Ovis aries: one gene and its partner. The protein of the gene in region 1 interacts with the protein of each later gene in a pairwise test. Links are inferred from orthologs where the notes say so. Each region holds a gene or a part of one and is shown in the gene's direction. Other genes may lie near its edges.

Region 1 (3,500 bases):
AAATAGTGCATAAATGTAAAAAATATTTCCTAAGTCAGTGAAGGGATTATAGAAACTGTGTCTGTGATATGTGTACAGATATATCTTAATGTAGCTAGTTCTTAATGAAAGAACCTCTGCCACTGGCTAGGAGTGAAGAGGATGCCTGGTCTGGTTTTTCCCAAAGAAGATAAATTTCTTGCTTTTATTACATAACCTGCTCTTGGTATTAGTGATTTGCACTTCTAAAATCCATGCTAGAAATACAGAGAACAAGTTTGTGAATGCAAACTTTATTTTCCTCATAGAAGGACTCCCCTTGATCCGAGTTTAATTAGACACAGTTATTTAACTTGAATTATTTTTGCTTATTAATATAGAAATGCATTTTGATTACCTAGTGACAGTAGACCTGAATCCAGAGCAATGAATGAATGGGCTCCAAATCCCAGTTTTGAGTCTTTTCCTTTTTATGGTTCGCTTATATTCTAATGATTTAACCCCTTACTGCCTTTTTTTCTAATTAACTACTGAAGTCTTCCATCAATTTGCTGGCATTTCTTGGAAATATAAGTAACATAATTAAGACAGTGTAAACTGGAATGCATTTAGAATTAGATTGTCCTCTCTCCAGGATTTGCAAAGATGATGTATGAAATCACATTTGCCACTTACAAAGCAGAACTTATATTTGAGTGTTTAACAGGTTTATTGAGCCATAGTTTACATACCATAAAATTCATTTACTGAAAGTACACAATTCAGTGATTTGTGGTAAATTTTTAGAGCTGTGCCGCCTTCAGCATAGTCCAGTTTCAGAACATTTCCGTAACCTCCCCAAATTCCCTTGGACATTTTTGTATTTAATTGCAAGCCCCAGCCACAAGGAACGACTGATCAGCACCTGTTTATTTTAGCTTAGCACAGTCTAGAAGTGCTTCCGTGTTGTAGCATATATTAGTATTACGTCCCTTTTTTGTTGCTGAATAGTATTTCATTGTATGGATATACCATGTTATGTTTATCTGTTCGCCTATTGGCAGGCATTTGAATTGTTTTCTGTCTTTGACTCCTAAAATGCTGCTATAGTTGTGTGCAAGTTTTTTTGTGTGTGTGTGTCTCAATATATTGGATAGATTCTAGAATCAAATTGATTATCTCCTTTAAGCATAGGAATTCTATTCCCTTTTTGCCTATTTGTCTTCTGTAAAGTAAGGTATTGGATTTCCTCCTACCCCAAAACTTCTTCATTTCTTTCCTTTTTTCTCCATTCTTGCCCAGGGAGCACAATACTTGGGAACCTGAGAAAAACTTGGATTGCCCTGAGCTAATTTCTGAGTTTATGAAAAAGTATAAGAAGATGAAGGAGGGTGAAAATAACAAACCCAGGGAGAAATCAGAAAGTAACAAGAGGAAATCCAATTTCTCAAACAGTGCTGATGATATTAAGTCCAAAAAAAAGAGAGAGGTAAGCTTCATTTCTCCTCTCCTTCCCCCCCACCCCCCACTCTTCTGCTTCCTGTGCTTCCTCCTCGCTTCACCCAAAAAAGAGGGGCACTGTTTTGGTTGTTTTTATTCTAGGGATGGCCTATACGGTAAATTGTTGAACACAGGAGCTCCCCGGGGAGTTTTGTTGATCCACTACAGCGCCCCCTCCTGGCTGAGTAAGAAATGTACTATGTGTCCACTGAATTGTGTCAAGGTGGCAAAATTAAATCCCTGTAAAACATTCAGCCACTCAGTGCCTTTTTTGTGAATAGGTGGCTGAGTTGTCTTATGGAGAGTCTTCAGTGAATTTTTTAGGGATAGAAAGAAGCTTTAAAATATCTACTACTTCACTTTTTTCTTTTATTCCAAAGAGAGCACTTAACTTTAACCCTTTATATTCTTTCTTTTTTAACCAGGTGAAAACACATAACATACAACTAACCATTTTATTTTTTTTTTTAATTATTTATTTATGGCCACACCAACACATGTAGGATCTTAATTCCCTGACCAGACTCAAACCCATGCCCCTGCATGGGAAGTGCGTAGTCTTCACCACTGGACTGTCAGGGAAGTCCCCAGTTAACCATCTTAAAGTGAACAGCTCAGTGGCATGTGTAGTCTCTCTTGATCCTATTGTATTTTTGCATTCTTCAAATAAATTACTTTTCATCTTCCTTATGAATATTTTTATTGTTCAGTTTTTGAAAATGTGTTTATGAAACTTTGGTTTGATTCAGTTATTTTAATCCTTCTGATATATAGCTGTTAAGTAACTAGCCATAAGCACTGTTCCTGTCTTTTTTTTTTCTTGTCTATATCTTTTCCATGTGTGCACATGTGTCTCCATCACCCCCCACAGCTTCCATTCCTTTCATTAATTTCAAGGTTGTGAAGTCTTTTGTGGTGAAGGATATATCATACCCTTAAAGTTTAATAAAATAAAAGTGTAAGTCTGCTTCTGAATCTTCTAGCATCCCTGCCATAAGCATCCATATTTATCTTCATTCTCCTTGGATACCCGTCTTGCTAGAGCATTAGTTCTCAGCCCTGGCTGCATATTAGACTCATGGCAAGGGGGGCAGGCGGGTGTTTCAAAAGCCTCCAGTATTGCTGTGGAAAAAGAAGCCTCCGGTGCCCAAGATGCACTCCAGACCAATAAAATTCAAATTTCTGTGGGTTGGACCTATGCGTTAGTATTTTCTAGAGACTTACACAGGTGATTCCTGGTCTCCAGAGGAGAGAAAATGGGAGAACAACTTTCCAAAAAGAATTGAAATAAGAATGAAAGATTGGAGGCTGTCAGTGAAAGTGGACGCTAGTATTTTGTTTGTTTCCCTGATTAATTTTATTTTTTGCAATCTTATTTTTTAAAACTCCCCTGTTCTGGTGAGGTGTGTATATCATTATGATATAGCATACTAGTAGATAATTTGAAAATGCCTTCCCTTCTCTAAGGAGCTAAGACTTGGGTCTGTCTTTCTGTTTTACTTTTTTATTAGTCCTTTGTATTCTGGTTCTTGTCATTTGATGCATTTTCCAGCTAAGTAAAGAGACCAAGAAACAACACAGCATGACTTCTGTAGCCGTTTTTGACATTCAGTGTGTATTTCCTCAACCTAACGTTTATGTCCTTTTAAAAAGGAGCAGTCTGGGGGTGGGGGGGGGGGAGGAGCAATCTGACTTTGAGACACTGGCCAGTGCAGAGTTTGGTTCCTAGGCCAGGATGCTGGCCTTTTGATGCTGCTGACCTTGAAAACCACCCCCACACACACATGTCCCTTACATTGTAATGTTCATCTGGGGCCCCTGGCAGCATTCTCAGCAGTGCTGATGGCTGTCATGTAGGCAGCTGGTAAGATAGGTGATTGTATATTTTAAAGGTGCAGGGGGGGATTTCGTTTCTTTCTTTAGACCACTGCAGAGGAAATTTGTTAGTCGGCATTATGCCTGATTTAAGATTACTGCCTGTGTGATGATTTTAGCATTTTCCTCGCCTCGGCTCCTTTTCAGCTGCTTGAACATTTTTCTTC
Region 2 (4,240 bases), on another chromosome or scaffold:
TACCATGATTGGATGGGAGTTAGCCCAGGGGTGCAAGGTTGGCATGACATCTGAAAATTAATTCATGTAATACATCATGTGTCAATAAAGACAAAACCACAAAATCATCTTAACAGATGTGCAAAAAGAATTTGACAAAATCTTTTACATTTCCTTTACATGCAGTGTCCAGAAAAGGCACATCTTCAGAGACCGAAAGCAGATTAGGGTTGCCAGGAGCTGAGGGAGGAGAGAATGAGGAGTGATAGCTGAGGAGTTTCTTTCTGGGGTTATGAAAATGTGCTTAGTTGATTGTGGTGATGGTTTCATAACTCTAAATATACTAAAAAAAAACACCCCACACCATTGAATTGTACAGTTTAAACGGGTGAATTATATGGTGTGTGAATAATATCTCAATAAAGCCGTTAAAAAACAAAACTATGTCTTGCCTGGAGAATCCCAGGGACGGGGGAGCCTGGTGGGCTGCCCTCTCTGGGGTAGCACAGAGTTGGACGCGACTGAAGCGACTTAGCAGTAGCAGCAGCAGTCATAGACATAGCAAGATGATCGTGGTAAATAATTATAAAAGGCTTCGTAGACACTCTAGGACAGCCCCTCCCCAAGCTTCAGCTCACTACGCCCCCTGTTCCTCGGGCATTTTGCCCGGTTTGAGTAATCCGCTTCTGGGGCTCCCGTCTAAGAACTCGCTTAATTAGGTACTCTGTGAATAGACGAATAAAGGGAGACCACGAAAGGCCCTCACAGAGTGCCCCCAGGTGGCCATAGGTCTCTACATCACTTTCGGTAAAGAGCCTTCTGCGCCTCAGATTTCACTTCTCCAAGACTAACTCTGCCGCGGCGGTAAAGCTAAACAGCTCACAGCCTCCTTGGCGGGATCCAGGCTCTGGGCTTCAACTGCGGAACGGTGCTGGTGCGGCGGGCTTGAATTCTTCCAGTCCCCAAGTCCTGGATGCCCCAATCCAAGGGCCACTCTCTTTTCCGAGCCAAGGAGCACTGCCCTGCTAGACCCGGCGTCTGAGTCGGCCCGGATCTGGCTACAAGTTGGGGCCAAGCTGCGGCCAAAACAGAGGAATCATAGCGTCGTGGGTCACTCTAGGACTCAACAGTGAACAAAGGCATCGGAAAATGCCCTAAGAGAATATGGCGGCGACTGCCTTCACAACCATCATTCAAATACAGTCGGAAGCTAGTCATTCGTTTCCTTCAGATGATCTTATCAAATAAGAGCCAGCTCCAAATATTTAGCTCCAGCTCTTAATACTCCTAACCCATTGGTGCTTGCGGAGATTAGCTTGAGGACGTGTCTTCTGACAATGCCCAGTGATTGGACTGTTTACATCACTGAAATAACGAAGTCCACGCTGATTGGCCTCCTGGGCCAGACTCCAGGACGCTGTTGCTAGGTAACGCCTGACAGAGGGCCAGGTTCTCAGGTCTGCAGCAGGAGTCCCCAGGAGGTTACTAATGCAGGGAGCCCAAACTGATCAGCGCCCTCTGGGAGATTCTACGTCGACTCTTTCTGTTCTGCTGACCCCCAAGGCCTCAGAGAGTGCGTCCTGACAGCAAAATGAACTGGGTTCCTGTCCTGAGATATGCCGGTTTTATGGAACTGAGCACCTTTGTGGAATTTCTACATTGTTCCAGGTGCAAAACAGTCTTCTCATTGGAATCATCTAACTCTGAGCAACGCTCCATGTGAGGTCAGGGAGTGTGGTCCCTGTTAAAGACTCTTTGCAACCCCAAGGACTGTAGCCTGCCAGGCCCCTCTGTCCATGGGATTTTCCAGGCACGAGTACTGGAGTGGGTTGCCATTTCCTTCTCCAGGGGATCTTTCCAACCCAGGGGTCGAACCCAGGTCTCCCGCATTGCAGGTGGACGCTTTACCGTCTGAGCCACCACGGAAGCCCTATTTAAGAATAAGATTTTTTTAAAAAAAAGAACATTGAGACTGGGTGACTGGTACGCAGGTCTATCTGGCTCCAAGTCCAGTGCTCTTTCTGACCTAATCACTAGGGCTTTTCCTTCTGAGACATCTTGGCCCCGAGACTGTCCATTTCTTGACAGTCTTGTCATAAAGTCCCTGACAGACTAGCTGGACTTCAGTGACTTACAGAAGAGCCCCCTTCCCTTTTCTCCACCGCTCTGACAGCTGAGTGGGCAAAGTCAGAATTTAACCTGAGCATCTAATAACTATAGTGAAACAAGAAAAACAACCCACACCGTGTGCCAGCAGCTGTGCGGTTTGGTGGTTTAGTCGCCAAGTTGTGTCCGACTCTTGCGACCCCATGGACTTTCCGAATGGGGGCGCTCAAGCGCAGTCGAGTTAGAACCTCTTTACTGTAACATTTGTGTGTGCTATGTCGCTTCAGTTGTGTCTGACTCTTTGCGACCCCATGGACTATATAGCCCACCAGGCTCCTCTATCCATAGGATTCTCCAGGCAAGAATAATAGAGTGGGTTGCCATTTCCTTCTCCAGGGGATCTTCCCGACCCAGGGATTAAACCTACGCTTCAGGCGGCTCCTGCCTTGCAGGCAGATTCTCTACCGCTGAGGCACCGGGGAAGCCCAACACTGCTAAATTAAGGAACAGCAATAGAATCCAATGTATCTGGTTTTGAAGCCCATGTATCCTAACCATTCTGCTGTACAGCTACTCCTGGCACAGCAATTTCTCAAAAATATTGAAATAATGGGGAAAAAATTTGTTTGCTTTCCCCTTTTACTGGCTACTGGGCTACATTTTCATCACCTGTCCACCTAGGACAAATTCATGCCAACCAGGTTGTTGTCCTACTGTTCTGCTAAAGGAATTCTCTCCAGTCCTGCCAACCTCTTTGTTAAAACACTCTGCCGCTTTCCTCCAGTGGCTTCTGAATCCCTTTTTGTTTTGTTGGTTTTATTTTTCAGTTCATCTTTCTGTTTTCTTTGTTACATCCCTTATTTTTAATGTAAATTTCCCGAAGTTTCAGGCATCCAACTGCAGTTGAGAAATCCGCCTCTAGGCCTGCACATCTAACTGGCTGCTAAATATTTTCACATATTTGTTGAGTCGAAAGAGCTTGTTGTTTTTCCTAAACATTTTAGTTGATTATTCAACTATACTTCATTTACGTTGCTAGTATATCAGACCTAAAATCCTGTTATCCTAGTCCTTCCTTCTCATGGCTTTTCCCTGCCAGTTCCAGTCTATTCTGTATCCTATAGTTTAGGATAAATCTGTGGAAAAAAAACAGGCAAAGGTCCTCTCAAGATGCTTACATTCCACTGTGGGAGAATGGTCCATTTCTAATAAACATAGATAAGGGTGGGCCCAAGGGTATCAGTTGTCTTGCTCAGAACCAGATAGTCCTGCTCAGTGAAAAACTGTCCTTTGTTCCCCATCATTGTCAGAATGCTCCATGGACATTCATGTAGGTAAAAATAGGTTTGTGATTGTCTGAGTACAGAACCTGAATCTACTTTATGTAGAAGCACAAACTTACAAGTACAGTTTTAATCCCGACATTTCCAGGAAAGCCTGTGTATACGGAGGGAAGATTTTATTTTGTTTAGTTTGGAATTTTGCTGAGAATTGTTTGCCATTTTGGAAAATCACAGCATAAATGGCTACACTTGAATCTGAATCAGCAATAGAACCCATCTGTGACAGCCTGAGTTTGTAGCTGCTCAGTTTAGTTCAGTTCAGTTGCTCGGTCGTGTCCAACTCTTTGCGACCCCATGGACCTCAGCATGCCAGGCCTCCCTGTCCATCACCTACTCCCAGAGTTTACCCAAACTCATGTCCATTGAGTCAGTGATGCCATGCAACCATCTCATCCTCTGTCGTTCCCTTCTCCTGCCTTCAATCTTTCCCAGCATCAGGGTCTTTTCCAATGAGTCAGTTCTTTGCATCAGATGGCCAAAGTATTAGAGTTTCAGCTTCAACATCAGTCCTTCCAATGAACACTTAGGATCGATCTCCTTTAGGATGGACTAGTGAGGTCTCGTTGCAGTTCAAGGAACTTTCAAGAGTCTTCTCCAACACCACAGTTCAAAGGCATCAATTCTTTGGCACTCAGCTTTCTTTATAGTCCAGCTCTCAAATCCATACATGATTACTGGAGAAACCACAGCTTTGACTAGAGGGACCTTTGTTGGCAAAGTAATGTCTCTGCTTTTTAATATGCTGTCTAGGTTGGTCATAAACTTCCTTCCAAGGAGTAAGCATCTTTTCATTTCATGACTGCAGTCACTGT

What was found. The genes of interacting proteins can lie anywhere in the genome.
Region 2: the proteins of CBX5 (region 1) and PRR14 interact in binary tests that used the Homo sapiens proteins (3 or more experiments, as listed by UniProt). The two-hybrid records come from large-scale screens. The link is inferred for Ovis aries from reciprocal best matches to the Homo sapiens genes CBX5 and PRR14.

What each region holds. Positions count from the first base shown.
Region 1 is NC_056056.1:132,289,499-132,292,998, forward strand, and holds part of CBX5 (chromobox protein homolog 5), read left to right. Parts: intron 1-1,260; coding exon 1,261-1,447; intron 1,448-3,500. UniProt on the Homo sapiens protein: Component of heterochromatin that recognizes and binds histone H3 tails methylated at 'Lys-9' (H3K9me), leading to epigenetic repression. In contrast, it is excluded from chromatin when 'Tyr-41' of histone H3 is phosphorylated (H3Y41ph).
Region 2 is NC_056077.1:27,281,351-27,285,590, forward strand, and holds the start of PRR14 (proline-rich protein 14), read left to right. Parts: upstream 1-1,440; 5' UTR 1,441-4,240. UniProt on the Homo sapiens protein: Functions in tethering peripheral heterochromatin to the nuclear lamina during interphase, possibly through the interaction with heterochromatin protein CBX5/HP1 alpha. Might play a role in reattaching heterochromatin to the nuclear lamina at mitotic exit.